Neodiprion lecontei: one gene and its partner. The main gene of each other region encodes a partner of the protein of the gene in region 2 in a complex. Links are inferred from orthologs where the notes say so. Each region holds a gene or a part of one and is shown on either strand. Other genes may lie near its edges.

What was found. The genes of interacting proteins can lie anywhere in the genome.
Region 1: the proteins of protein lin-9 homolog (region 2) and protein lin-37 homolog are in contact, whole or in part, in a crystal structure (PDB 7N40), measured with the Homo sapiens proteins. The link is inferred for Neodiprion lecontei from reciprocal best matches to the Homo sapiens genes LIN9 and LIN37. Residues at the interface, in NP_001353174.1 of Homo sapiens: Lys99, Ala101, Ser102, Gln103, Lys104, Ile105, Gly106, Arg108, Leu109, Arg110, Leu112, Leu113, Lys114, His119, Trp121, Cys122, Ile123, Glu125, Trp126, Phe127, Thr227, Leu237, Phe238, Leu272, Ser273, Asn274; in NP_061977.1 of Homo sapiens: Tyr95, Ile97, Leu99, Phe100, Asp101, Arg102, Val104, Leu106, Ala107, Phe109, Ser110, Glu111, Asn112, Thr113, Pro114, Leu115, Tyr116, Ile118, Cys119, Arg120, Trp122, Met123, Asn125.

What each region holds. Positions count from the first base shown.
Region 1 is NC_060262.1:22,748,326-22,753,345, reverse strand, and holds the start of protein lin-37 homolog, read right to left. Parts: upstream 3,275-5,020; 5' UTR 3,223-3,274; coding exon of another isoform or gene 3,208-3,222; 5' UTR 3,199-3,207; coding exon 3,166-3,198; intron 3,052-3,165; exon of another isoform or gene 792-3,051; coding exon of another isoform or gene 729-791; intron 608-728; coding exon of another isoform or gene 539-607; intron 447-538; coding exon of another isoform or gene 231-446; intron 50-230; coding exon of another isoform or gene 1-49. Other genes in the region: GDP-mannose 4,6 dehydratase, read left to right, coding at 1-49, 231-446, 539-607, 729-791; fork head domain-containing protein FD2-like, read right to left, coding at 4,467-4,763.
Region 2 is NC_060265.1:9,410,729-9,418,868, reverse strand, and holds protein lin-9 homolog, read left to right. Parts: upstream 1-1,796; 5' UTR 1,797-1,867; coding exon 1,868-1,949; intron 1,950-1,996; exon of another isoform or gene 1,997-2,299; intron 2,300-2,573; exon of another isoform or gene 2,574-2,711; intron 2,712-3,235; coding exon 3,236-3,578; intron 3,579-3,678; coding exon 3,679-3,981; intron 3,982-4,276; coding exon 4,277-4,694; intron 4,695-4,782; coding exon 4,783-5,132; intron 5,133-5,207; coding exon 5,208-5,454; intron 5,455-5,584; coding exon 5,585-5,770; intron 5,771-5,977; coding exon 5,978-6,142; 3' UTR 6,143-7,716; downstream 7,717-8,140. UniProt on the Homo sapiens protein: Acts as a tumor suppressor. Inhibits DNA synthesis. Its ability to inhibit oncogenic transformation is mediated through its association with RB1. Plays a role in the expression of genes required for the G1/S transition.

The DNA of each region.
Region 1 (5,020 bases), on a different chromosome or scaffold from region 2:
GAACTTGGATTCCCAACGAGACTGGGGACATGCTAAAGATTATGTCGAGGTAAATGACTATGTATTTTTCAACAAGTTTTCCAAATTTCCTCTAATTTTAAACGACAATTATAAATGCCGGAAATGTTATTGCGTTTGGAATTTTGTACACTCGGATCTAAACTACAGAGTAATTCTTGACGATTTTTCAATAAGAATTTAAAAATTGTTTTACAATTAACAATTCTCAGGCAATGTGGCTGATGCTACAACAGTCGGTCGCAGATGACTTTGTTATAGCAACTGGTGAAACTCACAGTGTCAGAGAGTTTGTTGAAGCCTCATTTAATTACATTGGTCGAACTATTAAATGGGAGGGCGAGGGTGTCAACGAAATTGGTCGCGATGCTGCTTCTGGGCAGCTCCTGGTTCGGGTTAATCCAAAATACTTCCGTCCAACCGAAGTGGTAAGAATCCTTATTTCCATCACCAAGATATTAAGTAAATATTGAGCATTTAACATCTATTCTAAAATGTTCCATCTTGATTCATAACGCAGGACTTACTGCTGGGTGATGCTTCAAAAGCCAAAGAAAAGTTTGGATGGCAGCCCACAGTTAAATTCGAAGTATGTATTTGAATAAGTTATTCTGATTTATCATTGGAACATTTCGAGCTGTCACCAGCTTAGCCAGTACTGAAAATTACCAATCAGAATTAAACTTTTTGGAAAATTCACTTTCATATAGGAACTGGTGAAGGATATGATGAAAGCTGATCTCGAACTGATGCGCAAAAATCCGAATGCTTAGCTGCGGCCGTTACTGCTTCGATGAAATTTCTGCATTTATACCACTTTAACTTGTCAGGAGTATAGATACTTAGATACTAGAGCGGTGTGAAGAATGATTAAAGGCATATTTACAGAGTAACGCAAAAGTAATCCGTGATTTGACAGAAACGTGGTCTCTTGACTAAATGTTCGTGATCGCGAGAGTCGAATAACGCTGCACAGTACGGTAAAAACAGACACCATGCTCAAAACTCTGAGAAGTCATGTATTTGGCAAAAAATATCCGGAGAGTGCATGATTTTTCGACACAATCCACCGAAACTTCCTCCCATGAGCTGTTTAACCAAAACGTAACATCTTTTATCATTATTTTGCTTAAGCTTTGTGAAATTTACGTGTCATTTTGAACTCCCTGAACGAAGTAATGCGTAGAAATTTCCCGCACTTGAAGCTTGAAATAAAGAAGTGGTAAACTGTTTATTATAATTGTTGAAAATTACCAGAAGAAATTGTATTATTTTTTGCTATAATTATACTCGAAAATGAAACGAACCAGCACTATCGTATTAGGTTTCCACGAATCTCTACTAAATGGCTTCCATGAAAACTTAATTCGATATTGTTTGTGGGTTTGATCTCACTGTATAATCCTAACAATTTACAATCCAATTCTTTCTTGTGCTTTTAAATCATTATGATAAACAGTTCACCAGGTAATTATTTAGAATTTCGAATCAACGATTTTGAGCCCTCTGAAAGGTACAGCTTGAACCTGATAAAATGGCCGCGCAGTTATAGAGATATTGAGTAAATAGAATGGAGCCTGCCCCCGCCCCAATCCAACAAGTTTGTCCGACACCACGTTGCTTCTAAAGTCTACTATATTTGGAATTTTTCATAGTAGCAAATTTCGATGACTGACAGTTTTCATGTATAAATTAAATTCATTATGTATACGCGGAGCCTTATATCGGAAACTAATTTATTAACAATAAAGAACATGCATGTCAAATTTCGTCAAGATAAGTGCTTGCATTTGCAGTCTGAAAAAAATTCAGATACAGTGTGATGTGTAACAGCGATTAGCTGTATTTGTAAAGTATTCATCGCATATATTTTTTTTCATCATTAGGGAGTTTAGAAACAAGTATAATTTGTATAGACCAGCAAGAGTCATTGCAACTATTTTACCTTCAAAGAATATATATACATATGTACATTAGGGTGTGCCAAATAAATGTTTTTTTTTCTGTTATCATTTCCCATATAAAAAATCAGTGCTTTCATGTATTATAAGAAGCGTCGTTTCATTCATTTTTTACATGGGAAACAATGAAAGAAATAAAATTTTGTTTATTGCACACTAATGTATATATGAGGCTTCATTATTTTTCTAAGTAGTGATTTCAACATTAAGATTGATCAGATTTTGTTACCTTCCTATAAGGGTAGTAAACGCTGCAACAGGTCAAATTCATTTCACTAATCCATTCTAACGGTAAATAAACAATTCCGAAAAAATATTTATAGTTTCTTCTCGATTGTAGGCAAACGATGAAATTACTATGAATACTTGAGATATAAATATAGAGAAAAATTTATATTTTGATATATATGACACCTAACTTTCGGAAATTCAAATTTCATGGAACTTAGGATGTGAATGTGAATTCATAAAAGATCGTGAGTGAATGTTCTATATGTAAAAAGTAGACACAATTATCATTTTTTCTATTACTGTGAACATTGTTGTAGATATTACACCGAGGAAAGCATAAGTCAAATAAGTTATAGGCACCAAAATTGTCGTACATGTGAGAATTTGATATGTAAGTTTTACTGCACTTGTTACAATTTATTACGATCAAAGTGCATATAAGGATTTAATCGAGGGATGCCTGTATCAACAGTTTGTTTTTCTCTGTTTAGAAATATTACCGGTGTTAATTGACGTTATGCAAGGGTTTTGTCAAAGGGGTGTGTTAAATTTTGATGAAGTCATACATTTGGGTGGTATCGTTTTCTAAGGATTTATTTTAGCACAAAAGCATTGTAGGTATACATTTAGGAAAAAATGTTATTCCATTAAAAACTAAGTATTATATATGCAAAATAATTTATCTATAAAATTTAGATATTCCAGATAGTCCAAATCTTTGGAGTTCGTTTTACGGTTTTAATAAAATGCTTGTATAAAATTCGAATTTCATAAGTTTAAAACTTTTTGAACCTTTTTCGACGTTGTCGCTAAAATGCCAAATATATGTTTGTAAAAAGCATTTTTCGTTACGAATCATTCCAACCCCAGATTTATCGAGTGTAATCTAATATTATCCATGTAAAAACATTTGACAGCTACAAAAAAAAAAATAACAATCTCTGTTCAATATTACCGAATAATTCTCGCTTCCGGTAATTATCTGCATCTTGTACAGCGACGACGCCTGTGATGTACGCCCGGATTATTCCAGCAACGAGGAAAGTGCGAAGAGAACTCTGGCGGTGCGTCGTGGCAGAATGTTGGCAGTTAAGCGGTTAAATCCACATCAAGAGAGAGCGATAGAGATGTGGCACGGCTTCCCTGCCACGGCGAATAGGCTGTGATGTGCGTGATTTATTGAATTTCCGAGAAAATCATGTTGACGTTCAACTACTTTTGTTTTGAAATTTAACATTCGAACTGCGCCTTTGAAGAAACAAACATTGGCATGTGTGATCGCAACAGTCGTTAAATAATCCCTAAACACCACCGCGCACATGTATATAACCGCGAGTTTTATCCACTGCAAACGTTATACCGTTTTCGCCTAGCGATGTTATTTCACGGTGGGTATTGTGTGCTAGTTACAATCACATTTCTGCGCCAAATAACAATATTTCACGTATAACCCTATAAAAACGAAGGAATATTTATTCCAGTGATGCTTTTCCTAGCTGTGAGATATATTTGTACGGGTATATATATTTTTTTTTTTTGTCCTCGATTATAAACCCAGATATTCTTTCATTTCGGTGATAATTTATGGACGATAAGCTATGGATGTGTTCATGAATCGTAAACAATGTATGTTGACATTTCGGTGAGACGTGTGATTATGATTTTAATAAAACCTCTGATACAATAAATAAGATTTAATATTCATTTGAAGGCGATATGATCCTCAGACATTTTTCCTACAATCATTTCATTCCCAGTTCTGACATTTTAATAAAATTCTCGCGCATATTTTCCATGATTTTTTCTTTTTTGCAAGAACGATTGCGGGATATTTTCTTACGAAAAGTAGGCACGATGGCAAACTTTAACGAAATTCTACACGTCAATTTTCGGACAAACGAATTTGCAAGAATTTCAATCGCAGTGATAATTGCGAATTAATTCTCATTATAAAAATGCAGCGATGATGTAAAATTACATATTTTAGGTCAGATTGTCTCCGATCGCGTATAAGCGTATGCAAATTGATATACGAAAGCATACATCACTACATTTGTGTGCGATCATATCCATCAGCACAAAGCGGATACCTCAGAAATTTGCATACAATTCCTTACCGTAGTATTTATACCTGGACGATAAGAATTCGAAGATTGACAAATTCCTAGTAAAATTCTTGAATTTTATAAATAATAGATAATAATCGGTGTCCGCAGGTTGAGAAGATATTACGTCATTCCGTTTCTTCTTCCGCACCTACCGCAGAGAAAAGTTTTTATCGTCGATTTTTATATCTTCTATGAGTTCATTCGTCACTGAAGTCGCCTTGGAGACAATTGGCGCCGGTGACTTTCTCAGGATGTTGTCGATCGTGAACATCGTCGACTTGATGCATCGTTCCGGAGGGCTGGTATACTTTGTTTCGTCTCTTCTTCTCGCATCTTGATCAAACGTTGATGCAACGTTTCGCGGCGCTTCGCTACAGTTTTGTTCTGGTGCGAAATGTTCTTGAAGACGGCTAGTCGACGTCGGTACCAGAAAGTCGGGACTCATCTGCGAACAAACATTTGTTCAGCAATTTCATGTATCGAGTATTATTCGCGTACAGCTTTGCAATTTTTCAGAATTCAAATTGTACCCCCGAGCGTTGCTCGCTTCGATCGATGTTTTCTGTCTGATATATTGGCAAACATAATACAACAATTAGGCAAACATTGCATGTTCCTCGTCGTGACAATTCACCGGCAGACGATCCGATACCGCTAGAACTATTTACCTTCGCAATTATCGATTAAAATATACATATATGT
Region 2 (8,140 bases):
TCTTTTGTCGCTGTACCAATTTCAGGATATTCATCGTACAATTCCTTGGAGCTGAAAAATGATTATGGTATGAATTTTTGCGTAAAAGTTTATCAAGTCACTGTCATAAAAATGGGTGAAGAAGATTTGAAAAATGAAGAAAGAAACTGCAATTTTTCCTGTTTTTACATCTGCGAACAAAACTGTAGTAAAGAAAGTTCGTTGTTGCGTTAATAATCAAAATGCACAAAACAATATACCAATCTGTACATGGCTCGTTGAATTCAATGAATCTGAACGATGCACGCTGCGTGTAACGAGATCGCACGAATTTCTTTTCCCACTGCAGTTCGTTATTCTTTTCTCAGTGGTTAACTTAAAACTGACTCGAAATTATTCTCACCGACACGGCCACATGGGCGTCTTCAAAAATAACGTGGGCACACCTTCGCCTCGCTTTCTATCATGTGGCATTTTCCCCGACGTATTATGGGTCGATTCGCTTGAAATTTCCAATGTTCGTTGATCTCCCGTTACATCATTTATGGTCCGCTTGACTCTGCACATACCAACTCTCGTCCTATAGCCACGTTTACGAACGCATCGCTCGCAAGGACTCCAGGGACCCCATTCAGAGACGATTTCCAGCTTTATACCCATTTTTCGGATATCAATTAGACCCGGCATCCGGGAAACCTGAGAGTGAAAATTTACATCCTTTACTCGATCACATTACTTATTGATTAATTCGAAGGTGACTTGCATTTTCTTATATTTACTTTCACAATTGGAACTTAGTTAATTGATAAAATAAGTTAATTTTTCGAATGATGTCCCAAAGGTCTCAATTTAGTAACAGATCGATTAAAAATCTAATTTATTACATGAAATTATAACTTATACAGCAAAGCGTAGAGAAACTGGTGCTAAATTTATTTCGTGATAAGACACCCAGTCTGACAGATTTCCAGTTTGTCTATAGATTCCTGCCGTGTTCTTGAGTACAGCTGAAAAGATTTTTTTGCACTGATGTGGAATGCAAGAAGTCGACTGATTGTACTAATATGACATCCCCAGCAAAGTCTCCTATTTTTCATCAGATTAGATTTATATTTCTCAAATTAGCACGACTAACGTTCTAATCTGTAGTTATATTTCGATTCTACTTCCTGGCCATTAGATCCGTGGCACTTGTACAGTCCTGCATCCTTAGCCTCGAAATCTTTGATAACCAATGATAATTCCGGAGTAACGTGAATCCTGTTGTAGCTCATATTATTCTCCATTCCCCAAGAGATTTCCGCTTCTGTAGTAGACTGGTAACGGTCTTGTAAGTACCAAATCTTCGGTACCTGATCATCCTTTTCGTTACTAAAATTGTTGTCAGAAAAGTATTGTTTCGTCTCAAATGTTATGTAATTATCAATATCGTAAAGCATTTGAACCTGTCGATAAAAGTGATCTTTAACTTGTTATATTTCCCGCTCACCAGTAATGGCATTCCAGTAAAATTGTCGTATCTACCTCAGCGTCAACCAGTAAATATAAGTCATTTTCTTCAGATCCGATTAATCGATCTTTATCTCTACAGTGCTTAATAATATCAGGTCTTATATCAACATTTTTTGCCACTTTAATGTACAAAAACATTCCCAACAAAAACCACGTGTTTCTCATCGTTGTGGCCTGTCTTTTGCTAAATAATTTGTAATGTGGAAGAGAAACACGTCGGTATCCGTACTTTGAAGTTTATATATTTGATGGCGTTTGATTCAAGTTTCGAAGCGCTGTGAAGCCACGAACCCAGCTTCGTGTTTGAAGTTTCAAATCGAATCGTCCCTCTCGGCATTTGGTGGCGGTGAACTGGCGGAACGGACGGAATCGGGCTATGAATTGTAGTGGGGGTGATTTGGCGGAAATACGTACCCAGCATGCATTGGCGTACGTCAACATGGCGGACACTATTGAAAGTGAGTGAAATTTTCATATTTTTTCCTAAAATTAAGTCGTTCAAGTCGAACAAAGTACAAATGCATAGTAATAATAGTAATCTAGGCTTATGTGATAATAATATAGGCCACAGTTGCACGGATTTCAGTTAAAATTGAGTTTGTAGTTAACGTTTGAAACAGGCACGGCGACGATGGGTTCAAAATTTCAAAAATGACCAATGCAGAATTCAAGCGGGATGACGAGCCCTCCGAGGAACAAATTTGGTTTCGCGGAATTAGTTGACTGGACTCTAAAACGCCAAATCCTTGAATTCCACTAACGGTGTATAACAACATTCTTGACATTTCATTAAGCAAAATACTTACAGGTGCGGACACGCTATGTTTACACACGTTGCTCCCAGAGATTGGTTATGTTTAGCCCAGTTTAGCCCACTCGCATTTGTAGATACCTCAAAATTGTAGACAAACTAGCAAAGGTTAAATTTCATTCAATTCTAACACGAGGAAACTCTCTAATAATTTTTAGCAATAATTCCGAACATTCAAGACGTCGAATCTTTCAAAAACTCACTTATCCAAGTGTGGCTTACTTCAAATAATGCTAATTATATTTAAAAACAATAATTTTTCAAATTATAGCTTTCGATAAAACTTTACTCGACATATCACTGGCCTCATATCGTAACTTATCTGCATGCGAATCCATATTTTGTATTTTTACTTGTACATTTCAAGGCTGTGTGTTAAGTACTTAAGGTATATAAATACTTATATAAGGTAAGTACAAGATTTATGTGTATCTGTCTGTCAACACTTTTGAAATAGTGATTGAATCACTTGATTTATATCATTCAAAAGTCATCGCAACCAAGCAGGTTGTATACAAAGTAGTAAATAAACAAACGTTAATCATAACGCTACGACGCGCAATCAGTGCAAGGACAGGTTTTGTTTTCCATTAGTTAATGTAAGATTACTGGTTGAATTTTGTGTTCCATAAACATGGAAAAATTCTAGTATATTTAAACGCCAAATGATGTGAAACCACGTTTGCAAATCCCGAATGTTGGGATTAGGTTAAATGATTAGTTTGCATTAGGTTTGATAGATATTAACTGGTCAACCTTTTGGCTTACATATGTGTACGTACAATCTTTGACGGTTTAACTTACTTATCGGATATGTTACATTTCTCCTCTTAAATATTGATATGGTGCGATGAAGAATCATCTTTTATTGTCAAATTATATTTTTCAGATAGTTTGGTAAATATACTTAACCAAATCACATTTTCATTTCAGATGAATCAGCGGAAACCTTGCTGTCGATTAAAAACGGTGGCTACCCATTGGCCAATGAAATTAAAAAGGAAGCTTTCGACGATGACCTGATGGATCTCGAAGACCAGTCACATTGGAATAATTCTATGGATGATTCAAATATGGATCCTGAAGATTCTGAACCTATGCCTGAGTTGGGGCCTGCGGCTTTGGGGCTGCAAAGGGTTGGAACGCAGCCGCCACCAAAACCCAATCCCCCAACCCAACCAATTCAAGTATTGAATCGCCGAGGAATGCCTGCGAGGATCAGAAAAAAGAATAAATTGTTCTACGATGACATTCTCGTCAACCATCCACATCATAGGTAGATTAGAAGTTAATGTTTATGTGTTTTTAGTAAACAGACGAAGTACCGATAAAATTCTAAGGCCTGATTTGATTTGTGCTTCTAATGTGTATTTTAGAATTAAAAAGGATCCCAATTTGGAAATGAAACATTCTCCTAAAAGAATACCACGGCCATCCCCAGCTAAAAAACAGAATAGACATGTCAGTGAGTCGAAGAGAAGTACGGGTACGCCGTCGCAGCCATCGACGCCAGTTACTACACCTATAAAACAGGAAAAGGAGCCAGAAAAGCCGGCACAACCAGCATCTCCTGACCGAAAAATTGGACAGAAGATTGGTATGAGACTGAGAAACCTGCTGAAATTACCCAAAGCACATAAATGGGTCTGCTATGAATGGTTCTACAGTAACATTGACAAGTGAGTAATGTACCTGAAGTAATCTGTAATACTTTTTTGAAAGATTTCACCGAGGGTCTTTTCCTTATTCAAGGAAAAATAATAGTATTCTGTAGTTTTCATTACATCACTTTCCATAGGACATAATCTGAGCATTGACTGAAGATATACATATCTCTAGTCAACGATCTGAGTAATGCATCGATATTCAAATTCTGGTACAAATGTTAATCATACATTGATTAACACACTCTATCAATTGAAATTTTTTTTCTCAAAATGGGCAATTAGATAAGTACTATTTTTCTTCTTCCAGAACGCTCTTTGATGGTGACAACGACTTTATGATTTGTTTGAAGGAGTCTTTTCCGCAGCTAAAAACACGAAAGTTGACACGCGTAGAATGGTGTAAAATACGAAGAATGATGGGAAAGCCAAGACGGTGCTCCCAATCATTTTTTGAAGAGGAAAGACGAGAGTTAGAGAGGAAGAGACAAAAAATTCGTATGCTCCAGCAGAGAAAAACGGCCGATATAAGTAGCTTTAAGGACCTGCCTCCTGAAATTCCTTTACAACTTGTTATTGGAACGAAAGTTACAGCAAGATTACGAAAGCCACAAGATGGCCTTTTCACTGGTAGTATCGATGCAGTCGATACCAGCAACAACACCTACAGAATTACCTTTGAAAGAGCGGGTCTTGGAACTCACAGTGTGCCTGATTTTGAAGTTCTGGTAATTGAATAATTGAGCCATATTCACTGTTTAGTGCCTGTTGATCATCTTCATTTGACTTATTTCAATAACCTTTATTTGTTTTCAGTCAAACGAACCACCAGAAACCATTAGTGTAGCTTCGTTCGCGCAAAAGTTTAGACCTCGGATGGTGCAATATGTGCCATCACCTCCCTATGCAATGAAATTAATGTCACCCAGATTAAATAATGACCCTTTAATATCCAACGCCTCCGTATCACTCCCAAAAAAATCGCATATCGGTGGTACGATGAATGGCTATCCCTTAAAACTGTTAGAGTTTATGGTAAAAGTTGACAAAATATTAGCGGCAAAGAAAATCAAGATAAAGAAACTGAAGGAAATGAACAGTGAGGCGGAAAAGAGACGGTCTTTCGGTGAGCCTTTGCCAGCTGACTTTGAGAGAAAATATGCAGGGTAAGAATTTTGCTTAGTAATGTATTGAATAGAAACAACGAACGGATTAAAAATAAAATTTCTTTGTGATTACAGGATAGTAGTTGAACTTGAAAAGATGAATGTAGCGCTTCAAGATTTCTTGAACGACGTACAAGAGTTATGTCAAGAAATGGCTCCGGAACCAAGCGTTGCTGCTATGCTGGCTCCTTCTCATTTGCGGGAAAAGTGCCATCAAGAAGCGGCCGATATGGTTGCTAGAAATGATGTCATTAACGATAGGGCACCAGCAAAGATGAGCGAACTTGTCACAGACCTCACTGCTCTCATGCTTCAAGTAAAGGTAAATCTTGTTCCTAGTTTTACTCCACTTTTCACAACAAAATCTTCCTCAAATTCTCCCAATACGTAGAATTCCAGCAAAGAAATGCAGATTTCTTTCCAAAAGTCATAATATCCAATTCTTTTCACAGAGCTTGTCGGATTCTGATCGAAATGCCTATGAATTGAAAGTACTTCAAGGAACCATGGAGCAAATTAGATCGAAACTGAGTCCTCAAAATCAACAAGTGTTTCAAAACTGCGTTGAAATTCATATGCAGCATATTCAACTTGGTTTGGGAAAAATAGGGGCTTTAACGCCATTTATGTCTCAAAAAGTTTAGTATTAACTTTGTTGAATCATCATACTCTTAATGAATGGCAGGCAGTAATTTTCAGACGCGTGCAAGAGTATTCTGTAATCTAATGAGAATTTATTCGAGGAAAATAATAGTTGTACTACACTTGCACGCTTCTACTTACTGTAATGATTTGATGTGCGCCTGTCGTCACTGTTCAACTAAAAGTTGATTCACGCTATCCAGCATGGACCAGTACGACCTGGAACGAACATTTATCGGAATTTCCACGGCATTCCTACGGAACAAGCACCCACTAAGCAGCAGTTAATCACAGGAGGATCAATGGCCAAATCTCTAAGCGTCAGCGATTTGGCTGTTATGGAATTACTTCTTGACGAGAACATGTAGTGAAAGCTAAAATATGTCTACGAATATAGGTGCAATGAATATTTAATACAAAATCAAGAAACGACACACATTGGATACGTTTGATTTAAACAATTGATGAAGTACGAAGAAAATTTTTATTAATAGATAGTTTTGTTACAGCCCGTGTTGTATGATGTGAATCAATCTTTACTATCCAATTGTATAGACTCCTTCATCGTTCATCAGGCATACTCATAGTTCATACATTATATCTACATTTTGTTTTTTGTTTTATAAAAAGACAAGAAGTACGAGGAATTGCAGTTAGAAATGGTAATGAATTTTGAACTAACGTGGTGTAAGCATTGTCTACACCTTACACGGAATGATTCTTCTGATCTTTCTGCAATAATCAATATTTTCTTGACATTATCAGCAAAAATTTTTACTCAAGTCATTTACTTTGAATTAAATGTCTACATAATATATCTAGTATCTTATTGTGTACTTTATAGAGGTGTAAAGTGGTGTGATAAATGCAATGGCAAACATTGTTGCCCGTTGCAAAATTTTGTATGCATCACTTCGGTAAAAATAGAAAAGATCTTTTTTTTTTTTCGTCCGTATTTCTGCACCACTGCTAACGTTCAATTACACAGTTAATACTTGCGTTGAAAATAATTATGTATTTACTTACAATTACAAATATATATCTTAGGATTAAAACATTTAGTAATAATATTAAATAGTAAAAGAAAAATATTATGAAAAAATTGTAACTAGAAGAATGTTGTGTTGAATACTTGAGACGATTGAAAATATTTAATTACTATTATACACGTTCATACCCTAATAATAAATGGAGAAATTAATATTTTACGGAAATTAAAAGGTATGAGGAAATGTAGAATATTACGAGTTGCATATATTATACAGGCGCTATAAATTGTATCTAAAATAATAGATGAAACATAATTTGAGATGGAGACGTTCTAAACAGATTTATATATCCCTGAATTGTTGCTTTTTGAGGGAAAGGATACTCAATGTAATTCAACTACATGTAGCGGTATAATTTCAGATGCTTTATTTATATACAGTTAATTATTTAACATGGGGATTATGTAACAGTGTACTTTTATTCGTATCAAAGTATCGTGGAAACTCACTATAATTCATTTTATTCCCGTAATATTTATTTCAACACAAGTAAAAAGTAAAATTTTACGGAATAAAGGCTAATAATAAATTCACAGCAACGCGCATCTAAGACTTTAATACAAAAAAGTTGACCTAAAGTATTTTGAATATCCGATGTATTACTGGTCAATGATGAGAGTTTATTCGTTTCAATTTTTGTTCAACTGACGGTCGCGTATCATCGTTGGTTACTCATCTGTCTGAAAGAGTTAATTATATTTTCGATTAGTACTAACAGATACAGACGTTGTAATGTTCGGTCACATGCATTACTAGATCCATTTGCATTTACGTTAACACGTCATCACCCACGATACGACACTATTGTCGATAATAGAGCATAGAATCCATTTTACATAGATTCATTTTCTGTCTCTGATAACTTAAGTAAGTTACTATTTCTTATCGCCACTTAAAAAAATTTCTTATCTACAGTAACAATTTGGAGGAAGTGTCGGTAAAATTTTTTTTGCAGTATTTATAATACCAAGACTAAACGATCTCATATATAAAAGTGGCTTTTATTCTTTCTAAAATCAAATGAGGTGAACAGGGAGTATTCCTGTAATGAGTTTAGCAGAAACCACTTATTTGTGTATAACTCATCAACATATAAACGCGTCCGAGTTCAATTTGTTCCGAATGCGTATTCGCGTGATTTATTTGAAGCTTGAATTCGTTTGTTGCAATATTCCAATTATTGATCACGATTGTGATCATTGTGTAAATGTAAAACTGACGAGACTGTATTCTACTTGCGTATTATTATCTATATCAATAGTACTAAGCTGTAAATGTCGTACATTAACATTTATATAGCATCTTTAGTTTCTGATA